Arabidopsis thaliana: one gene and its partners. The main gene of each other region encodes a partner of the protein of the gene in region 3 in a complex. Each region holds a gene or a part of one and is shown on either strand. Other genes may lie near its edges. The genes, in order: TIF3H1, TRIP-1, EIF3E and EIF3K.

Region 1 (5,391 bases), on a different chromosome or scaffold from region 3:
CCTAAGTTGATCCAACTGGTTCAAACTCTTCTCGTTAAGTGAGCCGGTGAGATTCAAGTACTCAAGAACAAGCTTGGAGACTCTTCCATTCATACATTCTCTAACACCTTGCCAGTTGCAGAGATCTGTTCCTCTCCAAGAAATCGAATTAGATGGATCGATTGAAGATTTCAAGCTTAGTAAAGCTTCGACGTCGCTAGATCTCGCCGGAGTAACCAAACAGAAGAAGACTGTAAATGCAAAGACTACGAACGACACCGTACTCGAAGACGAAGAAGAAGAAGAAGAAGCCATTGTCGATGAATGATGAATCAATCAAATCAGAAAGAGTGGCTCTTTTCCTCAGCTCATAAAAGAAACAGAAATGATTGATACAGTTCGAAATCGAGTTTCCATAAAAAGCATCCCATGAATCTCCTCAAAGCCATCACTTTCTATTATTAAGTCACTTTCCAGATCTGCCCCATTATGCTAAAGCATCTCGATCGAAGCAAAAAAGGGAAAGGTAAAAAATGAAGAAGAAGAAGAAGAAAGTGAGAGCTCTGCTCTACTCTGCTCTTTAATGGCGGAAAGAAATCTTCTGGTAGTGAGCACTAAGAAGAGAAGAAGAAGCATTAAAATTCCCCGGCATTTTCTCTCTCTCTCACTTCACTTTCTGAGTATCTTTTCTCGAAGTTCTTGGTCGAGGAAGATGTCATCACGTGAAGCCATGCCTGGAAAACTTTTTTTTTGTTCTCACTGTGACATCTTCAATGCATTCATGAATAATAGTAGTATTATAAAAAAAATTAATAATGGGTTTATGAAGGAGAGACGAAGGAGAAAGAGAAAAATAATTCACGTATATTTTTGTCGTTATTGTTATGGTTGCTATTACTTTGCCAAGATTCAGAGACAGATAGGTTTTGGGGCCAAGGTAGTTACTGCTGCTGAGAAAATTTATATAGAGATTTTATGGTGAAGTGTGGTATGGAGCAGAAGAAATATGGTGGGAATAATTAATTTTAGGGATGATTTATTTAAAGTAAGGAGAGACATTGTTTTTCAATTTTATTCAGTTGGTGTCTGGTTCCTCTTTGCACTCTCTACCAATTATTGAGCTGCTTTTTTTTCCTACCTCTTTTTCTTGTTGAATCTTCACATGGTTTTTATAATATTTTTAATCGTATTTTAATATGGACCTCATGTTATTTATACAATGAGGATATAGATTGTTGGATTTTTGTTTGAGAGGAAAGTTAAAGATGTGTTAACATTCATGGTTGGTATTCAATCTCTAAAACGAGGATGTTGAAGTGTTTATTAAATTAGGAATTTATTAGTTGCTTAGCTTAAGCGTGATGAAAATGTAATAAAGAAGAGGTGAGAATTGAGTTCACGTAAAGGCTGAGTTAATTATTAACCAGCGGTCCACCAGTCCAAACACCAACCTCGCAAAGAGACTGCAGTCATTTAATTTGGCATCAATATTATTGTTGACTTCTTTGACCTTCAATGAATCATCAAGGTTTTCGACTTTCGAGTAATAAACTATAGTACATTTAATACGTTTTATATATTTGGTTTTACGTTTTTTGATACCAGTGGTGATTCTCTAGTTTTTGCCGTTTATTTAGGACATTGTTGATTTTCTTACGGACTTATGAAATGACCATGTCTTATAGACTTTTTAAAGTTGGTTACTAAAGATTAGACTTTGAATTAGTCCTCTTTTTCGATTAAACCCTAATACCGGATGGAATTTGGAGGGAAAGTTTCTAAAAGTTTTGGATTCTAGTTGACTCCATGACTGTTTGTTTTTTCTTACTAAGTTTTGACTAGTTGGTTAGTGTAATGGGCCCATGCTATTAAATTAAATGTTCAATATTTTGAGGAATATTATGGTCCTGGCCTTTTACAAGAGAATAGCATTATAGGTCCATGGGCTGGGTCCATCCTTATTATAGGTCGGAAAACATTTAGGGATCATTCTATAAGAATCTCAAATTTTAGGGCTCTTTTGCAATTTTAACTGCGAAACGCTTTTTTTTTTTCCTCTCTACACCCAAATTGAAGGGAAAAAAAAATCTGCGGATCCTCGAGAAGCCCTATCAAACACATAAAGTTCTTTCTCTTACTCATCTCCGCCGCCGGCAGTAAAAATATCACATCGTTAGGGTTTCACGGCGGAGATTCAAGTTCTTTGACCTAGGAAGCTTTCACTATCACCGGAGACTATTTCAATGGCAACCAGTCAGTATAATCATCCTCTCTGTTCTTCACTAGGACATAGAATTAATATTTGCATCTGTTTATTGACGATTTCTGTATATGTCGTGCTAAGTTTCTTCCGTGGTTTATTTCTGCAGTGGCTAGGTCGTTTCTGCAGGCGATATCGAAGGATGAGGCGGTGGCTCCTCCGCTTAGAGTTGTTCAGATCGAAGGACTGGTAACGTTTCTTAGTGTTCCCTGATTTTACGGTTTTAAGTGTTTTTCCTCGTTTTCTGCTGACCGATGGTGTTTGATAAATAAAAACTCTCTAGGTGAAGCTAATTTGCCCATTATCATTTGGTAGGAAGTTGTGATGCTGAGAATTTTGTTTGCTATTGTGATAGGCTGTACTAAAGATAATCAAACACTGCAAGGAGTTTTCACCGACCCTTGTCACTGGACAGCTTCTTGGACTTGATGTTGGTAGCGTCCTCGAAGTTACCAATTGTTTTCCTTTCCCGGTATGTTGATGAATTTTACACGCATTGTGAGGATTTAAGAGCTTGTTCATGATTGATGTACATGTGATTTACTGGAATTTGTATCTTAAACGAGGACAGGTCAGGGATGATGATGAAGAAATTGAAGCTGATGGTGCTAATTATCAGCTTGAGATGATGAGATGTCTGAGGGAGGTTAATGTTGACAACAACACTGTTGGCTGGTAGGTTTTTTAATGACATCAGTCTGAGTTCACTTGTTAAATTTTTTCTTGTGAATGTATTTAGATCTGCCTAATTCTTTGTTCAGGTATCAATCTACAGTTCTTGGTTCGTATCAGACTGTGGAACTGATTGAGACCTTCATGAATTACCAGGTACTTTTTTTTTTGTTAAAGAATCCTGTCTACCATGTCATTATAACATTCTAGATTTGGTCTGTTCATATGTTATGCTCTTCATTCAGCTGGAAATTTATATGTATAGCATGGCTACTCTAGTGTATGATAGGTATATTGGCATGTGTAAAAGTTGAATGTAAATTGGATCATGAATATATTTTCTGAGACTTTTTTTGTCCGCAACTCTGTTACAATCCCTTGCAGAATCATGATATGAACTCTTAAGAAATGATTCTTCTGCATCTACAGGAGAATATCAAGAGGTGTGTGTGCATCATATATGATCCCTCTAAAGCTGATCTAGGCGTCTTAGCTTTGAAGGCTTTGAAGCTTTCAGATTCCTTTATGGAGTTGTACCGAGGTGGAAACTTTACTGGCGAGAAGTATGTATCTTGATCCATTGAAAATCTAGGTTTTATGAGCCACTTAGGATGATAGTTGTAACGTTTTAATCACTATCTTTTTCAGGTTGAGAGAGAAAAATTTCTCCTGGATGGATATTTTTGAGGAAATACCTGTAAGTCTCTAGCTTTCTTCTATATTGAATTCTTACCAGCTAATCTTTTCAAGTCACTAGGTTGGAATTGTTACCTAATTATATTTTCCTCTGACAAAAAAAGTGGTTTAAATGTTTGTTACTTTTCCTTTGACAGATCAAGGTTTCAAATTCTGCCCTTGTCAGTGCCTTTATGACCGAACTGGAGACTGATACACCTGTCTCACAGGTACAATACTACTATCTGGATAGTGATCCTTGCTTGCTGTCAGCATTGCAGATTTTGACTCTTGATACTTCTGTATTTTCGCCTTTCTAGGGCGATTATGATCGTCTACACTCATCAACCACTCCTTTCCTTGAGAACAATATGGAGTTTTTGATTAAATGCATGGATGATTTATCTATGGAACAGCAAAAGGTGTGGTTTCTTCTGCACTCTTGTTCAATTCTCATCATCAGAAGTCCGAACTATCTTAACGCAAAATCTTAATTTATTTCTCCAGTTCCAGTATTACTACCGGAACCTGTCTCGTCAGCAAGCACAACAGCAAGCCTGGCTCCAGAAGAGAAGGTAGGTTTATATTTTCTGCAGAACCTTTTTGTTCTAGTTCAGGTTTGATTAGTTTCACTACCTCGTTATCTTGGAAGGTGATACAACTTTACTTACGAGAGTTGTGAATGCCTTGTAACATTTGTCTTCAGCTTTTCCTTGTCCTTTTGATCTTCCAACTAATGAAAGAGGTGTTTGGTTTATAGAACGGAGAACATGGCTCGTAAATCAGCTGGAGAGGAGCCTTTACCAGAAGAGGATCCTTCAAACCCAATCTTTAAGGCGATCCCTGAACCATCTAGGCTAGAGAGTTTCCTCATCACAAACCAAGTCTCAAACTTCTGTGGCCAAATCAATGGGTATGTTCCTCTTTAGTATTGTTTCACCATTTTTGGAGCTTTGAAAGATACTTAAAATGAGTCGACCTGTTGTTATGCAGAGTGGCTGGCCAGAACTTCAGCAGGCTTTACCTGACCAAAGCATTGCACGACAACTGATTGCAAAGACTACCCAAGTTTTTGTTTTTTGAGTCAGAAAGTGAAAGACTTGGTGGTAGAATGGATCCTATATTTGTTTTTCGTGGATGTTTTTGTTTTTATTTTTGTTGTTGTGAAGTAATTTAATTTACAAGCTTTTCAAAAAAAATCTTTATTCTTATGCATAATGAAAAATTATTGAAGTTTTGAAAGATTTATCTTGTATTGGACCTCTGATTGCCTTACAACAAATTATACATAGTTATCAAAATCCTAATCAAAAGAGTAAAAAATCTAATTTATAGAGATTTTATTATAGTTGTAGTGTTAGTTCCATCGCTAAATCCCTTGAACGACAACGTTTATTATTTCTTCTTCGGACGATTGTTTGAAGAAATTTAAAAACGACATCTTTTTATTACTTCCTCTTCGAAAGATTGTTTACCAACAAGAACAATGGCGGTTTATCATCTCCTTCTCTCGAGCCCACCTTCGCTTCTTCTTCTCCCTCCTTCTCCTCGCCGCCCTAACCTCACCTTAATCCGCCGTATCCCAGCTCATCCTCGCCTCGGAAACTCGACCAGCTTGCTTTCTTCTTCGTCACCGGTAATTCGGAAAATTCTGGTTCGTAGCACTCTCCGGGAAGACCAACCCATCGCCTCTGACTCCGAGAGTAGTCCTACTCTACTGATCGGTGAAGATTCTGCTGCTTTTGAATTAGGGAAACAGAAGCTTGTTTCCTGGGTTTATTTCGGTGTTGTCCTTGGAGTTGTTC
Region 2 (4,881 bases), on a different chromosome or scaffold from region 3:
GTTTGCCGATAACGGCGAGCGTCTTGGCACTTACCGTGGCCACAGTGGTGCTGTTTGGTGCTGTGATATCTCCAGTAAGTGGTCTCAGCCTCTCAAATTCAAATAGTATATAGTGGATGGAATGGATTCAGTTTAGGATTTAAGTCGTTGTCTTTGTTGTTTTAGTCTTTCATAGCTTAACGATTAGTGTTTTGTTTGTGATTTCTTAGGAGACTCGTCTAGATTGATCACTGGTAGTGCTGATCAGACTGCAAAGCTGTGGGATGTGAAATCTGGCAAAGAATTGTTCACTTTCAAGTTTGGTGCCCCTGCAAGGTCTGTGGATTTCTCTGTTGGTGATCATCTTGCAGTGATTACCACTGATCACTTCGTGGGAACTTCCTCTGCTATTCATGTCAAACGCATTGCAGAAGATCCCGAAGACCGTAAGTTGTCAATTCTAAGTTAAAATCTACTTATGTTTTTTAGCCTATGTCTTTTTTGTATGGGTAAAAGGAATTGATTTAATGTAATTGATGTAGAGGTTGGTGATTCTGTGCTTGTCCTTCAAAGTCCTGATGGAAAGAAGAAGATCAATAGAGCTGTTTGGGGTCCCCTGAACCAAACCATTGTTAGTGGTGGTGAAGATGCTGCTATCAGAATCTGGGATGCAGAGGTATTTCAACTTTCTTAAGGCCTTTCTTTTGTCTATCAATATCTCTCTTTTTTTTTTTATTAGCTTAAACCTTATGTGGTGCTACTGCCATTGTTACTAGACTGGAAAATTGCTTAAGCAATCAGATGAGGAAGTGGGTCACAAGGAGGCCATTACATCCCTCTGCAAAGCAGCTGATGACTCTCACTTCCTTACAGGTTCACATGACAAAACTGCAAAGGCATGTGCTTCTTTCTTTTACTTGTTTCAAAAATATGCTCTATACATATTACATATAGAGATAAATCATCTAATAGAGTGTTCTTTTTGTTGATTCTTTCAGCTTTGGGACATGAGAACGCTGACTCTTATTAAGACTTACACCACTGTGGTGCCTGTAAATGCTGTCGCCATGTCTCCACTTCTCAACCATGTATGCACTAATGCTTCTTGAAATTCAAATTCGGTTCCCAAAAGCAACAAGTCTTGATGTTATCTTTGTGAATGTTTCTGCTCTCGCTCTTTTAGGTTGTGCTTGGAGGTGGTCAAGATGCATCAGCTGTGACTACCACTGATCATCGTGCTGGGAAGTTTGAAGCTAAGTTTTACGACACGGTTAGTGTTGCAGTAAAACAGTTTTATTTAAAAACTTGTAACCTGGAAAGAGATATGTAACTGTGTATTTGGTCTTATAATATATAGATTCTGCAAGAGGAAATTGGTGGCGTGAAAGGTCATTTTGGACCTATTAATGCTTTGGCATTCAGTCCTGATGGGAAGAGGTAAACTAACAAAATTTGATTTTGATTGATTGATACAATCCTCAGTTGATGAGAGTGTTTTTTAGGCTTTGTTGCTGAGTGTTTTTTGGAATGTATTTTCAGTTTCTCTAGTGGAGGTGAAGACGGCTACGTGAGACTGCATCATTTTGACTCCAATTACTTCAACATCAAGATTTAGATTCTTTGAACATGTCTTTCCATTTTTTCATCATTCCACATAATATTTTCTCTCTTTTTAACATTTTCAGAATTGATGTACTACCAAATTACCAATATACTACTTTGATGATAAAGCTTGTTGTTTGTCTTTTCAAATAGACATATGCACCCACAAAAAAAAAACGTATGAAACTGCTTTTGAGAAAGGAAAAAAACAAAATAGGCGCAACGGGCGAGGTTCGAACTCATCAAATAGGGAAGAAGCTAAAAACGCTGAAGCCACTGAGCTTTGCTAAACTGTGGCATCTCGAGTAATTTAAAAAATTACAAAAGGGTAAAAGTGTCAAAAGAGAGGACAAAGTTGATTTCCTAGGGTTTTTGCACTTCTTCCTCGTCGTCTCTCTCGTCTTCAAGTGAACAGGTGAAGAAGAAAGCCGTTTTCCGTAATCGTTTCTTCAATTATTTTTCTTGTCTTTTGATTGATTCGATTTCGTATCTGTTTCAAAGATTCGCATCAAACCCTAAGAAACTGAAGATGAGGCCGATCCTGATGAAGGGACATGAACGTCCATTGACGTTTCTGAGGTACAACAGAGAAGGAGATCTGCTTTTCTCCTGCGCCAAGGACCACACACCCACCCTCTGGTTTGCCGATAACGGCGAGCGCCTTGGAACTTACCGTGGTCACAACGGTGCTGTTTGGTGCTGTGATGTCTCCCGTAAGTTTCTCAATTTCTCTTCAAATAGTATCGAGTCGATGATTAGATTCATTGTTTCCCCTTAGCTACAAGCTTGTTTAGGGTTTATAGTATCGAGTGAATTCTGTCGTCTTAGTCTTTCAAAGCTGAATGTTTAGTGATTTCTTAGGAGACTCGTCAAGATTGATCACTGGTAGTGCTGATCAGACTGCAAAGCTGTGGGATGTAAAATCTGGAAAAGAATTGTTCACTTTCAAGTTTAATGCCCCTACGAGGTCTGTGGATTTCGCTGTTGGAGATCGTCTTGCAGTGATTACCACTGATCACTTCGTGGACCGTACCGCTGCTATTCATGTGAAGCGTATTGCGGAAGATCCTGAGGAACGTAAGTTGTACATTCCTAGCTGAATTACTACTTACGTTTTAGCCAACTTCTTGTATGTGTTAAAAGGAAATTGTTTGTTTGATGCAATTGTGTAGAGGATGCTGAGTCTGTGCTTGTCCTTCATTGTCCTGATGGAAAGAAGAGGATCAATAGAGCTGTTTGGGGTCCCCTGAACCAAACTATTGTTAGTGGTGGTGAAGATAAAGTTATCAGAATCTGGGATGCCGAGGTATTTCAATTTTTCTTAAGGCCTTACTTGTGTATTAATTTCTCTCTTTTAAGGTTATGAACTAAACCTTATGTGGTGCTACTGCCATTGTTACTAGACGGGAAAATTGCTCAAGCAATCAGATGAGGAAGTGGGTCACAAGAAGGACATTACATCGCTCTGCAAAGCAGCTGATGACTCTCACTTCCTTACAGGTTCACTTGACAAAACTGCAAAGGCATGTGCTTCTTTCTTTTACTTGTACAGTATATCTTGTTTCAAATTTTTGCACTATACATATAGATATAAATCATCTAATAGAGTGTTCTCTTTTGTTGATTGTTTCAGCTTTGGGACATGAGAACGCTGACTCTTCTTAAGACTTACACCACTGTGGTGCCCGTAAATGCTGTCTCCCTGTCTCCACTTCTCAACCATGTATGCACTAATGCTTCATGAAATTCAATTTCGAATCCCAGAATCAGCAAGGCATGATGTTATCTTTGTGAATGTTTCTGCTCTCTCTTTTAGGTTGTACTTGGAGGTGGTCAAGATGCATCAGCTGTGACTACCACTGATCATCGTGCTGGAAAGTTTGAAGCTAAGTTTTACGACAAGGTTAGTGTTTATAATAAGAGTGTTTTACTTGGAAACATGTAACCTGGAAAATACACATATTTAAATAACCGTGTATCATTGTGTTTGGTATAATATATAGATTCTGCAAGAGGAAATTGGTGGTGTGAAAGGTCATTTTGGACCTATAAATGCTTTGGCATTCAATCCTGATGGGAAGAGGTAAATTAACAACATTTGGATTTTGATTGATTGACACAATCCTCACATGATGAGGTTTTGAGTGTGTGTTTTGGCTCTCTCACTGAGTTTGTGGAATGTATATTTCAGTTTCTCTAGTGGAGGTGAAGACGGTTACGTGAGGCTGCATCATTTTGACTCCGACTACTTCAACATCAAGATTTAGATTCCGACTACTTGAACGTCAACCTTTTAGAATCTTTGAAAAAGTCTCCCATTCCGGATTTTGTTTTCTCTCTCTTTTAACATTTTCATGTTTTTATTTACTACCAATACAAATACCTTGATGATAAAGCTTTTGAATTTTGACAGAATCTTTAGTTTTCATTTCCAGAGTTCTCAGTACAAGTTAATTAACCTGCTCTATGTGTGAGCGAGCATTAATATTCAGCTTTTATAAAATAAACTCGGTTGTAGAAAAGAATGCCTTGTGTGATTGACAGTCCTCAAGAGTAGCGAAGAAAATCACCCAAAGACAGACTCATAATGTTTGTGATATTCGTGATGATTATTGGATCTATAAATTTTCGGAGAGAGATGTATGAAACCTGAAAAGAAAGATCCTTTATGCATGAAACCTTGACAAAAGAAACAAAAGCTTACGCAAAGCAATAACACCGATTTCATAAAATTACATCAGGTCTAAAACAAGGAAATGCAACAAAGGAAGCCATTTTATAAAAAAAGAAAAGCCTCTCTATATTAACAGTAACAAACCATAACACCAAATTTTCATCTGGAGGAAAAGTTTCTCTTTCTCCCTCTCTCTCTCCGAAAATTTATAGATCAATAATCATCACACCTCTCTCTCTCTCTCTCTCTCTACTATACTATCTATCAAGTTTTTCTGAAATTAGTAGCACTTATTTTCTTTGTTTATGTCGACAAATTAAGTAGAAATCGACATGAATTACCATCGATCAGCCTGCAGCTACTGCTTTAGCTCGAGGCTTCGTATCGAGCAGTTGATGCAATTTGCTTGTAGAGTTAGAATCATTGTCTCCTTGGTTCTTGTTCTTATCTCCAGCTCCTGAGTTCTTAACTCTAGACAACATATTTGCGGGGACTCTCTTTTCGGGTTCCGAGCATTTCAGTTTGTCCTGCAACCCAAAAAGAACCGGCCATGTTCAAGAAAATGACACGCCTTCATAAAGATAATTTGTTGGTTAATGATAGCTTACTTACCAACAAGGTTGCAT
Region 3 (5,145 bases):
ACAATGTCGGAACAAAAAGATAATGTTGTTAATAAAGCCATGAATGAGCCATGAATGAGCCATGAAGGATTCAAAACTATGATTCATAAAATACTGCCACAGAATCCAAACCTCGTATGTATCCCCCTTCTCCAGAATCTTCACGTAATGGACCTGTAAAACACCACCCTCAGACAGAATTGTCCGTGCAGTACTTCCAGCAGATCCTTCTGGAATGGCAGAATTCATTGCAGCTTCTGACACCTTGAGGCTAAAATTTGGGGTGGAGTTTGAAGGTGACAGGGCCTTCATTCTAGCTTGAAGAGATTCATATTGAGGTCGAGGCTCACCCATTCCATTACGGCTTCTTACTCCAGACCTTTTATCACTTGCCATCAGTTCTGCTAATGATCTCAGATCCAGAGTTCCTTTCAAGTAAAATTCTTCCACATGAATGTCTGAAAAGCTCGGTAAGTTTAATGATGCCACCAGCTTGTCATAACTTGGGGGGATTTTGTAGATGACACCATCACCAATGTCCAAATACGAAGGTTCATATGCTATCCTGCAAATGATGCAAAATTCAACGTGTCAATCTAGGAAACCCAACACCGTAAGTTATCTAAGCGGATTACACAGGGTTACACGGATCCCATGGAACATGAAAAAACATATGATCAACATACTTGGGTGTAATATCACGATCATGGTAGCTTCCTCGCCTATGTGGGGTCACATCAGCTGCAAAATTTGGAGAGTTGTCCATGTCATAGAACCTCCCATGGTAATCATTCCCTGGTTTCCTACCTCTGTAACTGCCCACATTGCTCTTTAGCACCGGAAAACCCATCAGATGAGGAGGATTCCCTTGAGTCTCCTTGGACCTATTTTTGAATTTTTGTACATGCTCCCCAAGCATTGATCGGTAGTGCTCCTCAGTAACATGTTGATTGTAGAGATCATCATCGTCCTCTGCATCCTCAGCTTCTGTCCACCGCTTTCTCTTCTTGGAGCTCGCATTCATTCTCGATTTAGACCCATTGCTGTAGTTTGCCACTACCCCACCTTTAACCATTACCAACCATATAGACAGAACACAGATAAACGTCACTTAAAACTATCACAGTAGGTGGCAAAAGTAATTCCATAAAACCAATTAAAAACTGTACCTTGAGTGCTTCTACTTTCATCCTGGCTACTACTCCCATAATAATCAACTTCATCTTCAGGTTTCGGAATTCTAAACTTCATCAACGGCTGCAAGAATGAAGAATTTAGCCACAAAACCCACACTGAATTTCAACAGTAAAACAAAAACACACTGTAGAAACAAGGAGAAGCTATACAATTGCAAGATTTCCAATCACCAAAACTACATTCATCACAGTCACATGATCATCATCCAACAAGTACAAACCATCAATTTCAAGGAAATCACAAAAAAATTGAGACCTAACAGACCTCGAGATCGAATAGATTCGCGTAAGGAGAGTCCTTCGGTGGTCGTCTTGAAGGATCCATGAGAGACGGGAAGAGAATAACACGGCGTCAAAATTTTGGAGAGTCTTAATCCTTAAAAGCTTCTAGACAGAAACATTCGTCACGAGAAAGAAAAAGAGTTCGTCTCGAAGAAGAACCCTAATCCAGTATGATAGAGGAAGAGGGCGAAAGGTTAAAGACGAACATGCGCAAGTTAGTGGACACAGGCGGTACAGAAAGAAGTCCAGACTACTAACATACGCCAAACGAATAAAGCTTCTTACCGTGCGCCTCTCCACAAAAAACATTTAATTATTATTTTTTCTTAACCCCTCCGGTACCGGCCGATCAGATAACGACGGCTAAGTTATCGTTTTGGAGATAAAAATACCTTGTGGGGTAAACAACAATATATAAGAAGTAAAGGGGCGAATTTATAAATATTGAAAGCTCATATTCGAGAAAACCCTAATTTCAATATACAGGATTTTTTACCTCGTCGTCTCTGAAACTTCATCTCTGCCGTCTTAAGAAGATTTTGCCAGTGCGGGAAGCGGCGGAGATTGAGAGATTAGCGACGATGGAGGAAAGCAAACAGAACTATGACCTGACGCCACTAATAGCGCCTAACCTGGACAGACACTTGGTGTTTCCTATATTCGAGTTCCTTCAAGAGCGTCAGCTTTACCCTGATGAGCAGATCCTGAAGTCTAAAATCCAGCTTTTGAACCAGACGAACATGGTTGATTACGCCATGGATATTCACAAGAGTCTCTACCACACTGAAGACGCTCCTCAAGGTATTCTTGTGTATTCCTCTCTGGATATGTCTGTGAATTTGCGTTTTTGTGTACTGGTTTGTTTGTTTGATGATGAATGTTGAAATTTGTGGTGATAGAAATGGTGGAGAGAAGAACAGAGGTTGTCGCTAGGCTCAAATCTTTGGAGGAGGCTGCTGCACCACTCGTGTCTTTTCTTTTGAACCCTAACGCTGTGCAGGAGCTAAGAGCTGACAAGCAGTACAATCTCCAAATGCTCAAGGAACGCTACCAGGTTGTGATTTGGATGATTAAGTTGTTTAATTTTGTGAAATGTTATCCAGATTTGGTTTTGTTTGTGTATTGTGGAACACAAATCTTATATGGCTTGGTGTCTTATCAGATTGGTCCAGACCAGATTGAGGCTTTGTACCAGTACGCCAAGTTTCAGTTTGAATGTGGCAACTATTCTGGTGCTGCTGATTATCTTTACCAGTACAGGACCCTGTGCTCTAACCTTGAGAGGAGTTTGAGTGCCTTGTGGGGAAAGCTCGCATCTGAAATATTGATGCAAAACTGGGATATTGCTCTTGAAGAGCTTAACCGTCTCAAAGAGATTATTGACTCAAAGGTTAGTATTTAAAACTTCTTCTAGTTTGCGACCTTTGAAATCAATATAGATGTGAGAGTATATATGCTAACTACCATTTGTTTTTTCAGAGTTTTTCATCGCCGTTAAACCAGGTGCAGAACAGGATTTGGTTGATGCATTGGGGTCTGTATATCTTTTTTAACCATGATAATGGAAGGACACAGATCATTGATCTTTTTAACCAAGACAAGTAAGCCTCTACCTCTCTGTTATCTGCATCTCTTCTTTATACCTTTCATCACCATCTATTTCCTTGCGTTTTAAGATAAGCATGATCTAGATGCGATGAAGTTATGTATAGGTGGTGTTTGTGTGTAGAACTTTGTTTATAGTTAATGTTAGTCCTGATGTGCCTACAAGTAATTAGCAGTCACTAGTTTTAGAGTCTTCTCCTTCTTTTCATCCAGACCTATTCTTAAGATTGTGCTTTGTGTATGGGCATTTGCTGAAAAATAATTCACTTTGTTTTCATGCTGCAGTTCTGTATACTAATTTGATTTACTTTTTCAGGTATCTGAATGCCATCCAAACTAGTGCTCCACACTTGCTGCGCTACTTGGCAACTGCTTTCATTGTCAACAAAAGGAGAAGACCACAATTGAAAGAATTCATTAAGGTCATTCAGCAAGAGCACTACTCCTACAAAGATCCAATTATCGAGTTCCTGGCATGTGTGTTTGTCAATTATGACTTTGATGGGGCTCAAAAGAAGATGAAAGAGTGTGAAGAGGTAACTCATCCACATGTATAGATATTTTTGTTTGTGCAGAACTGTGCAATCAATACTCTGACATTTTAACATGATGTAGGTCATTGTGAATGATCCATTCCTTGGCAAGCGAGTTGAGGATGGAAACTTTTCAACTGTACCACTGAGAGATGAATTTCTTGAAAATGCCCGCCTATTCGTCTTTGAAACCTATTGCAAAATTCATCAAAGGATTGACATGGGGTAAGTTCTCACATTTGGTTGTATATGTTTACACATAACTCTGCTCTCCGGATTGCTCAATGTTTGGAATTTTCTCTATTCCTTATCTTTCCCAACACATGAAAATTGCCATATCCAGCTATTTAAGTTGAGAAGAATTGTTGCGGTCTTGTGGTTTAACTTTGTACTCATGTCGAGCCTATATTTCCCTTGTCAGGGTACTTGCTGAAAAATTGAATCTGAACTATGAGGAGGCCGAGAGATGGATTGTGAACCTAATCCGCACCTCAAAGCTTGATGCCAAGATTGATTCTGAGTCAGGAACTGTAATCATGGAGCCTACTCAGCCCAACGTGTAAGTAGAATAAGCTTAAATCTATGATATCATTCGTATTCTACAATCTAATCTTGTTTCCGCTTTATGCAGGCATGAGCAGTTGATAAACCACACCAAAGGCTTATCAGGACGAACATACAAGTTAGTGAATCAGCTCTTGGAACACACACAGGCGCAAGCAACTCGCTAGTCAAAATTTTGCTGTGGAAGCCTTTCCTTGATAAAACTCACCTTCGGTTGACTGGAATTATTTTCTTTTTCTTGCTCTGAGTTCACCTTTTACTTTGAAAAAGATTATTATGGAGTTGTTCTATTTGAAATGTTGGATCCACAGATTGGAACATTTTCCAACCAAATCAGCATTTTGTATCCACCCTAAGCATTTAAAGGTTTTTGCAAGCCAACGTAAATTACTGCCTTACATTGAGCATCTCTGATTTGCGTAATAGTAAGTACAATAATAGCATATAACAGAAGTAAGAAAAACAAAACTTAAGAGTTAAGACTATGACAGTGGAAAGAACAGGTCACAAACAAAACAAGTATATCAATTCGTAAATAGTATAAAGTTACTCCAGAAGTCCAACTCGCCAGAGTCATCAAAAGAGAGAAGATAAATTCAATTTCTTTGGAGGTGGGTGCCCTCCAGAGAGTACCACATAAGAATAGAAACACAACATGCAATGGAAATGGCATATAGTGTGTTTTGATCTTTCCAGTGGATCTTTTGAAGCGAGTATGAAAATACCATTTACCACTGATGGTCGAGTTACTATAAGCAACATGAAGGACCGTTTGTGTATATCAGAGGGGAAGGACATGAAACAAGAGATATGGTCATTAAACTCTCGCAAGAAATGGGAGAAGACGTATTCGATTGATTTGAATAGAACTTCCATTTGGTGTCGCCGCCATCCGAATTTGCCAACAAAAACAATCACAACATTTCAGAAAAATAAGATTTTGCTTCATAATTGGAAGATAACTGGCCGTACTTTAATTATACATG
Region 4 (4,322 bases), on a different chromosome or scaffold from region 3:
CCACGTATCTTAATTAAATCTAACTTGTTCACTTCAATCACATATTGTATCTTCATTAGTCTTCATTATGTCGACTAAATAAAATAGAAAAAACAAATCATTAGGTTCATGATTGTCAAAAAAACAATTATAAATAAAACACCGTTCATTGTTGTCGATCAAATTGAAAATTTATATATTATATTCATAAAATTCAATTATTTATTCTGTTAAGCAATTCAAAAAAGTCTCATATATGTACAAAATTACAAAACTAGTTACATCAAAATCAAAAGTTATGATCTTGGGAATAACCTAGTTGTTAGTAGAATAATAGTATTGTTTTAAGCAATCATCTTAGATACGAGATGATCTAACTAATTATAGTTTAATCAGTCAAATTTATCACATAGGGAGCAGTCAAAATATGCATGGGAAAAGAGAAAATTGTGCACGTGACATGATTTGGTGTCAACATGTGAGCTTCCAAATGGATGGCTGTCAATCTTCGTATGTGATCTGTGTAGAGAGGACGACAAGACATAGACAGTCTCTTTGTATTTCAAACTTTCTCAATACAAATTTGCCGTGTCAGTTTCTATATTCCAAGAAACCTAAACAAAAGTTTTTTTTTTCCTTTGCTTTTTAAAGAAGACAATTGTTTGGGTTGTCTGAAGATTCGTTTAGTTTATTTAGATGTAATGAAGTAAACAGAAGATAATCAATCAGAAACGAGCCAATTCCAACACTTGTTGAGAAACCAGTATTGGAATCCATGGAAGGTAAAAAAAAAGGTAAGAAGCAGAGCTCAGACTATGAAGATCTACTAATTATGGCAAAGTCTCGGTCTACTAGATTTTTAAGAAAATCTGTCAAATTGCAAAGAGGAAGGCCATTGCCAAAATTCACATTACGGTGTCTTAAAAGTGTACATCACAAGATAACAAGAGACAAAAGGAAAATTTGCAGTGTTCTCATGAATTGGTTCAACCAAGGATGGGGAAGATGCGGGCAATGTGTTCCAAGGGAACATTCTCACCTGTATTTTTCTTGAGCTCCGGATGGTTAAATTCATTTTGTGGTAAGACAATACTTCCACCCTCTTTCTCAACAATCCATCCACTGTTAGTCACTTGCTGCTCGATGAATTTGTCTAGAGATGCACCATCCATGTTAACAGCCTGTGAAAATTGTCATTTATTGACAAATAAAAGGTCAACAAATTAGATTTCCAGAACTATGATGTGGAATATTCGTAACAGAAAATTATATGAGAAAGTAAAAGATTTCACATCCGAAGTTCTACTATTTTGATGACTTAAGCTATCCGTGGTGAAAACGAGATCATAAACCAAACATCATACCTCAGCCAGCACTGATCTTGGAACCTTTTGGTAGCTTAAGCTAAGAAGGTGACTTGCATATGCTTGAATAGCTTGCTCAAAACCTGCATTTAATCTCTCGCATATAAGACATCTACACTAGACACAATCATAAAATGAATAGACAGTACCATAAACCACTACTGAGGACTTTGTTCGTACCATAAGACATCTACACACAAATATCCTTAAGTAACAAATCTACATCTAGAAATTTGTTATTAGTAGACGATTTATTTATGATTCAGAAGTTAGTTACCTGGAACAGCCTCGAGAATGTGACGGTTCTTGGCAGCTTCATCCCAGAACTGTTGGAACCTCCCAGTCTGCAAAAGAAAAACAAGTGCTTTAAATACTCAATGCACACCTTTTCAACTCTCAACTAACTAATACTGATGTTTGCGTACCTCAAGGTAGTGTGATAGAACAATTAGTGACTTGAACTGCTCCTCCATTTGCTGAAACACACAATCCAAACAAGTACATTTATTAGTCCTCAAGAATCCAACACATTGAAACTCACACTTTATCATGAATGCTCAGTACACAGACTGAACTGACAGAAATAACTTGGAATGGCATAATAACTTGAGTCAGAAACATTTGAACAATCGTTTCTTCTGTATCTACGATAAGCTATATATGTAAGAAAGCAAAACATTGTGAAGTTAAGAGGAAAGAAGAATACCACTCTTTCGGGAATCAAGAAGAGGCAAAGGCTGAAGTCTGGAGTTGGCATAGCCATAAGAGCCTTGACCAAGATTCGAGCCACGATATGAGTGTTCATGCGCTCAGGCTCAAACTGCATAAAAGCAACAATACCAATTAACGAAAAGAGACACTAAAACTCTTGAATTTGGTATCAAAAGGTCCAGCTTAAGAACAACTAGAGCACCTGATAGAGCCGAAGCAAGCATAGGTTTACTTCCAGACTATACGTTTGCGATGTAACCTGAAAATCATAACGAAACCAACAACAATCAATGGAACACGATTTCTACAACAGAATCCGGCTTGAGAGAAAAGGGAAAGGAAACTGCACGTTAACGTAGTTTTCGAGATCAGGCAGGATTTCAGGGTTGAAAGGATTAAGGGCGACGAGCTGCTCAACGGTGTAAGAGCTCTGTTCCTGCGGCGATTGGATCTCTACTCCCATCTCTGCCTCTTTCTCCTTCTCCGTTTCTGTCCCTTTTGCGTCGGTCTCTTCGAACTTTGATAGATCACTGAGGAATGTGCAGAGGAGATTCGCTGATAAGACGAATCTAGGGTTTAAAAGCCAAAACGACAAAGCTTTGTCGTTTGGGCTAATGGTGCAATTGACAAAACGTTTGGGTTAAATTAGGATGACAGAGAAACTACAAAGGGTTGTTTAGTAAATAACTATTTTTAAGCCATTTTGATGCCACAGACTCGGTAAATAAATATTTTCTCAGTTTGCTTTTAAAGATTGATACTACACTAGAGTTTGCATTCGATTAACCATGGTCCAAAAGTTCACCAGTGAACATCTTTTCAAACAAAACTGTCAGCATCTACGAGTTCTCTGATCACAACTTCATGAAGTCTCACTTTGTTTCCAGTAGAATAATAAATGTGGATATCCTTCAAGAGTATAAAATCATAATCTTTCTTTTTTCAAATTTCAATATATACAAGTAATCTTTATATTCACGAAGAATGAATCCTTTGGTAATAAAATAAAAATAAAAATATATAGTTTCTTTTTGTAACAATCAATGGGTTTTCCTTGTTGTTTTAGTCTTCAACAGCTTCATCGAATACGATTCACATGAGAAAATGGCTCGGCAACTGCTTTTGGTGCAGCTTTTTTTGCAGTCTCTGGTACTCCAAAAACGTTCCAAAACCTCAGGGTCTCGTCTCCTGCTGCTGAAGCTACAGTACAACCATCTGGACTCTGTAGAAAACACAACAAACAACACAAGTTTAAGGACTGAATGACCTCAAAGACTCAAACTACTTCACCACTTAAAGAAATTGATGACGTTACCTGGGCCATATATAGAACTCTTGATGTATGACCAGTGAGCTCAGCCATTTTCACCATGGATGGGTACTTCCAAAGTGTAAGCTGATTCTGTGTAAACCCATGTGAGCTAAGCAACTCTCTTTCATTCTTGCTCCATAACAACGAACAAACTTGGGAACCAGTGTCTACTGAATTCAAGCAAGCCCCAGTGTGAGTATTCCAGAACTTTATCGTCCTGTCTCCTCCACCACCACCAGTTGCAAGCAAATTCGCTTGGAAAGGGCACCACGCAAGAGCCTTCACAGCAGATGTATGTTCCTCAAGCCTGTGCAGCCATTGTGTGGTTGAGTTTGAGGAAGCGACAGAACGATCCCAGATGTGTACCACATTGTCGTTGCCACCACTTGCTAGTTGTTGTCCAGATCCTGACCACTTGAGCCCACAAACTTCTTGAGTGTGACCTCTGTAAGTTTCCACAATGGGTGATCTGATCCTCACATCATTGTTGATGATCAGTCCATCCATTCCTCCAGTAGTAAGGATATGATTGTTCCATGCCAGTGATCCTACTCTTGACTGGTGACCACCCTTTAATGTTCTCAGCTGCAGAAATATGAGAAACACATCAGACTAAGAACACCGGATATTATATCTCAACATAAAAGAGAGAGAGTAGTAATTACTTGACGGTTGGATGCAGAATCCCACAGCTGGACTTCAGAGTTGTTGAGTCCAACTGCAACATGACGACCATCAGGAGCCCAGTTGATACTTGTGACAGGTCCCTTCTCCTCATCAATGGTCACAAGCTCAGATGTAGAACCAGTGGAAGCATCCCACAAGTAGACAGTGTGGTCCAACGCTATGGCTAAGACATTTGCACTTCCCCAGTCCAGCAAGTTGAGGTAGAAATCGTCAACAATGTCAGGTGCATCCAAGGTTCTCTCAGAAGTCTGTTAATCACAACAGAAAGT

The links.
Region 1: EIF3E (region 3) and TIF3H1 share a complex: the UniProt entries of both Arabidopsis thaliana proteins name them as parts of the eukaryotic translation initiation factor 3 (eIF-3) complex.
Region 2: EIF3E (region 3) and TRIP-1 share a complex: the UniProt entries of both Arabidopsis thaliana proteins name them as parts of the eukaryotic translation initiation factor 3 (eIF-3) complex.
Region 4: EIF3E (region 3) and EIF3K share a complex: the UniProt entries of both Arabidopsis thaliana proteins name them as parts of the eukaryotic translation initiation factor 3 (eIF-3) complex.

What each region holds. Positions count from the first base shown.
Region 1 is NC_003070.9:3,607,131-3,612,521, reverse strand, and holds TIF3H1 (translation initiation factor 3 subunit H1), read left to right. Parts: upstream 1-1,905; 5' UTR 1,906-2,222; coding exon 2,223-2,232; exon of another isoform or gene 2,233-2,348; coding exon 2,349-2,428; intron 2,429-2,594; coding exon 2,595-2,711; intron 2,712-2,810; coding exon 2,811-2,914; intron 2,915-3,000; coding exon 3,001-3,067; intron 3,068-3,340; coding exon 3,341-3,474; intron 3,475-3,559; coding exon 3,560-3,608; intron 3,609-3,744; coding exon 3,745-3,816; intron 3,817-3,906; coding exon 3,907-4,008; intron 4,009-4,093; coding exon 4,094-4,161; intron 4,162-4,346; coding exon 4,347-4,499; intron 4,500-4,579; coding exon 4,580-4,637; 3' UTR 4,638-4,891; downstream 4,892-5,391. Other genes in the region: AT1G10850 (Leucine-rich repeat protein kinase family protein), read right to left, coding at 1-294; Z-ISO (15-cis-zeta-carotene isomerase), read left to right, coding at 5,073-5,391. UniProt on the Arabidopsis thaliana protein: Component of the eukaryotic translation initiation factor 3 (eIF-3) complex, which is involved in protein synthesis of a specialized repertoire of mRNAs and, together with other initiation factors, stimulates binding of mRNA and methionyl-tRNAi to the 40S ribosome.
Region 2 is NC_003071.7:19,002,623-19,007,503, reverse strand, and holds TRIP-1 (TGF-beta receptor interacting protein 1), read left to right. Parts: upstream 1-1,771; 5' UTR 1,772-1,996; exon of another isoform or gene 1,997-2,082; 5' UTR 2,083-2,110; coding exon 2,111-2,294; intron 2,295-2,442; coding exon 2,443-2,658; intron 2,659-2,753; coding exon 2,754-2,887; intron 2,888-2,984; coding exon 2,985-3,104; intron 3,105-3,214; coding exon 3,215-3,304; coding exon of another isoform or gene 3,305-3,325; exon of another isoform or gene 3,326-3,397; coding exon 3,398-3,484; intron 3,485-3,584; coding exon 3,585-3,664; intron 3,665-3,772; coding exon 3,773-3,848; 3' UTR 3,849-4,346; downstream 4,347-4,881. Other genes in the region: AT2G46290 (Transducin/WD40 repeat-like superfamily protein), read left to right, coding at 1-74, 210-425, 522-655, 756-875, 978-1,067, 1,163-1,249, 1,337-1,416, 1,519-1,594; GBF3 (G-box binding factor 3), read right to left, coding at 4,603-4,782, 4,868-4,881. UniProt on the Arabidopsis thaliana protein: Component of the eukaryotic translation initiation factor 3 (eIF-3) complex, which is involved in protein synthesis of a specialized repertoire of mRNAs and, together with other initiation factors, stimulates binding of mRNA and methionyl-tRNAi to the 40S ribosome.
Region 3 is NC_003074.8:21,195,967-21,201,111, reverse strand, and holds EIF3E (eukaryotic translation initiation factor 3E), read left to right. Parts: upstream 1-1,792; 5' UTR 1,793-2,038; coding exon 2,039-2,258; intron 2,259-2,356; coding exon 2,357-2,511; intron 2,512-2,619; coding exon 2,620-2,847; intron 2,848-2,936; coding exon 2,937-3,058; intron 3,059-3,378; coding exon 3,379-3,598; intron 3,599-3,677; coding exon 3,678-3,820; intron 3,821-4,016; coding exon 4,017-4,154; intron 4,155-4,226; coding exon 4,227-4,326; 3' UTR 4,327-4,595; downstream 4,596-5,145. Other genes in the region: INO80 (DNA helicase INO80-like protein), read right to left, coding at 112-544, 666-1,044, 1,149-1,236, 1,441-1,500. UniProt on the Arabidopsis thaliana protein: Component of the eukaryotic translation initiation factor 3 (eIF-3) complex, which is involved in protein synthesis of a specialized repertoire of mRNAs and, together with other initiation factors, stimulates binding of mRNA and methionyl-tRNAi to the 40S ribosome.
Region 4 is NC_003075.7:16,038,101-16,042,422, forward strand, and holds EIF3K (eukaryotic translation initiation factor 3K), read right to left. Parts: upstream 2,709-4,322; 5' UTR 2,518-2,708; coding exon 2,404-2,517; intron 2,314-2,403; coding exon 2,257-2,313; intron 2,164-2,256; coding exon 2,050-2,163; intron 1,820-2,049; coding exon 1,769-1,819; intron 1,688-1,768; coding exon 1,621-1,687; intron 1,427-1,620; coding exon 1,344-1,426; intron 1,161-1,343; coding exon 966-1,160; 3' UTR 551-965; downstream 1-550. Other genes in the region: CDC20.2 (Transducin family protein / WD-40 repeat family protein), read right to left, coding at 3,133-3,276, 3,370-3,951, 4,032-4,301. UniProt on the Arabidopsis thaliana protein: Component of the eukaryotic translation initiation factor 3 (eIF-3) complex, which is involved in protein synthesis of a specialized repertoire of mRNAs and, together with other initiation factors, stimulates binding of mRNA and methionyl-tRNAi to the 40S ribosome.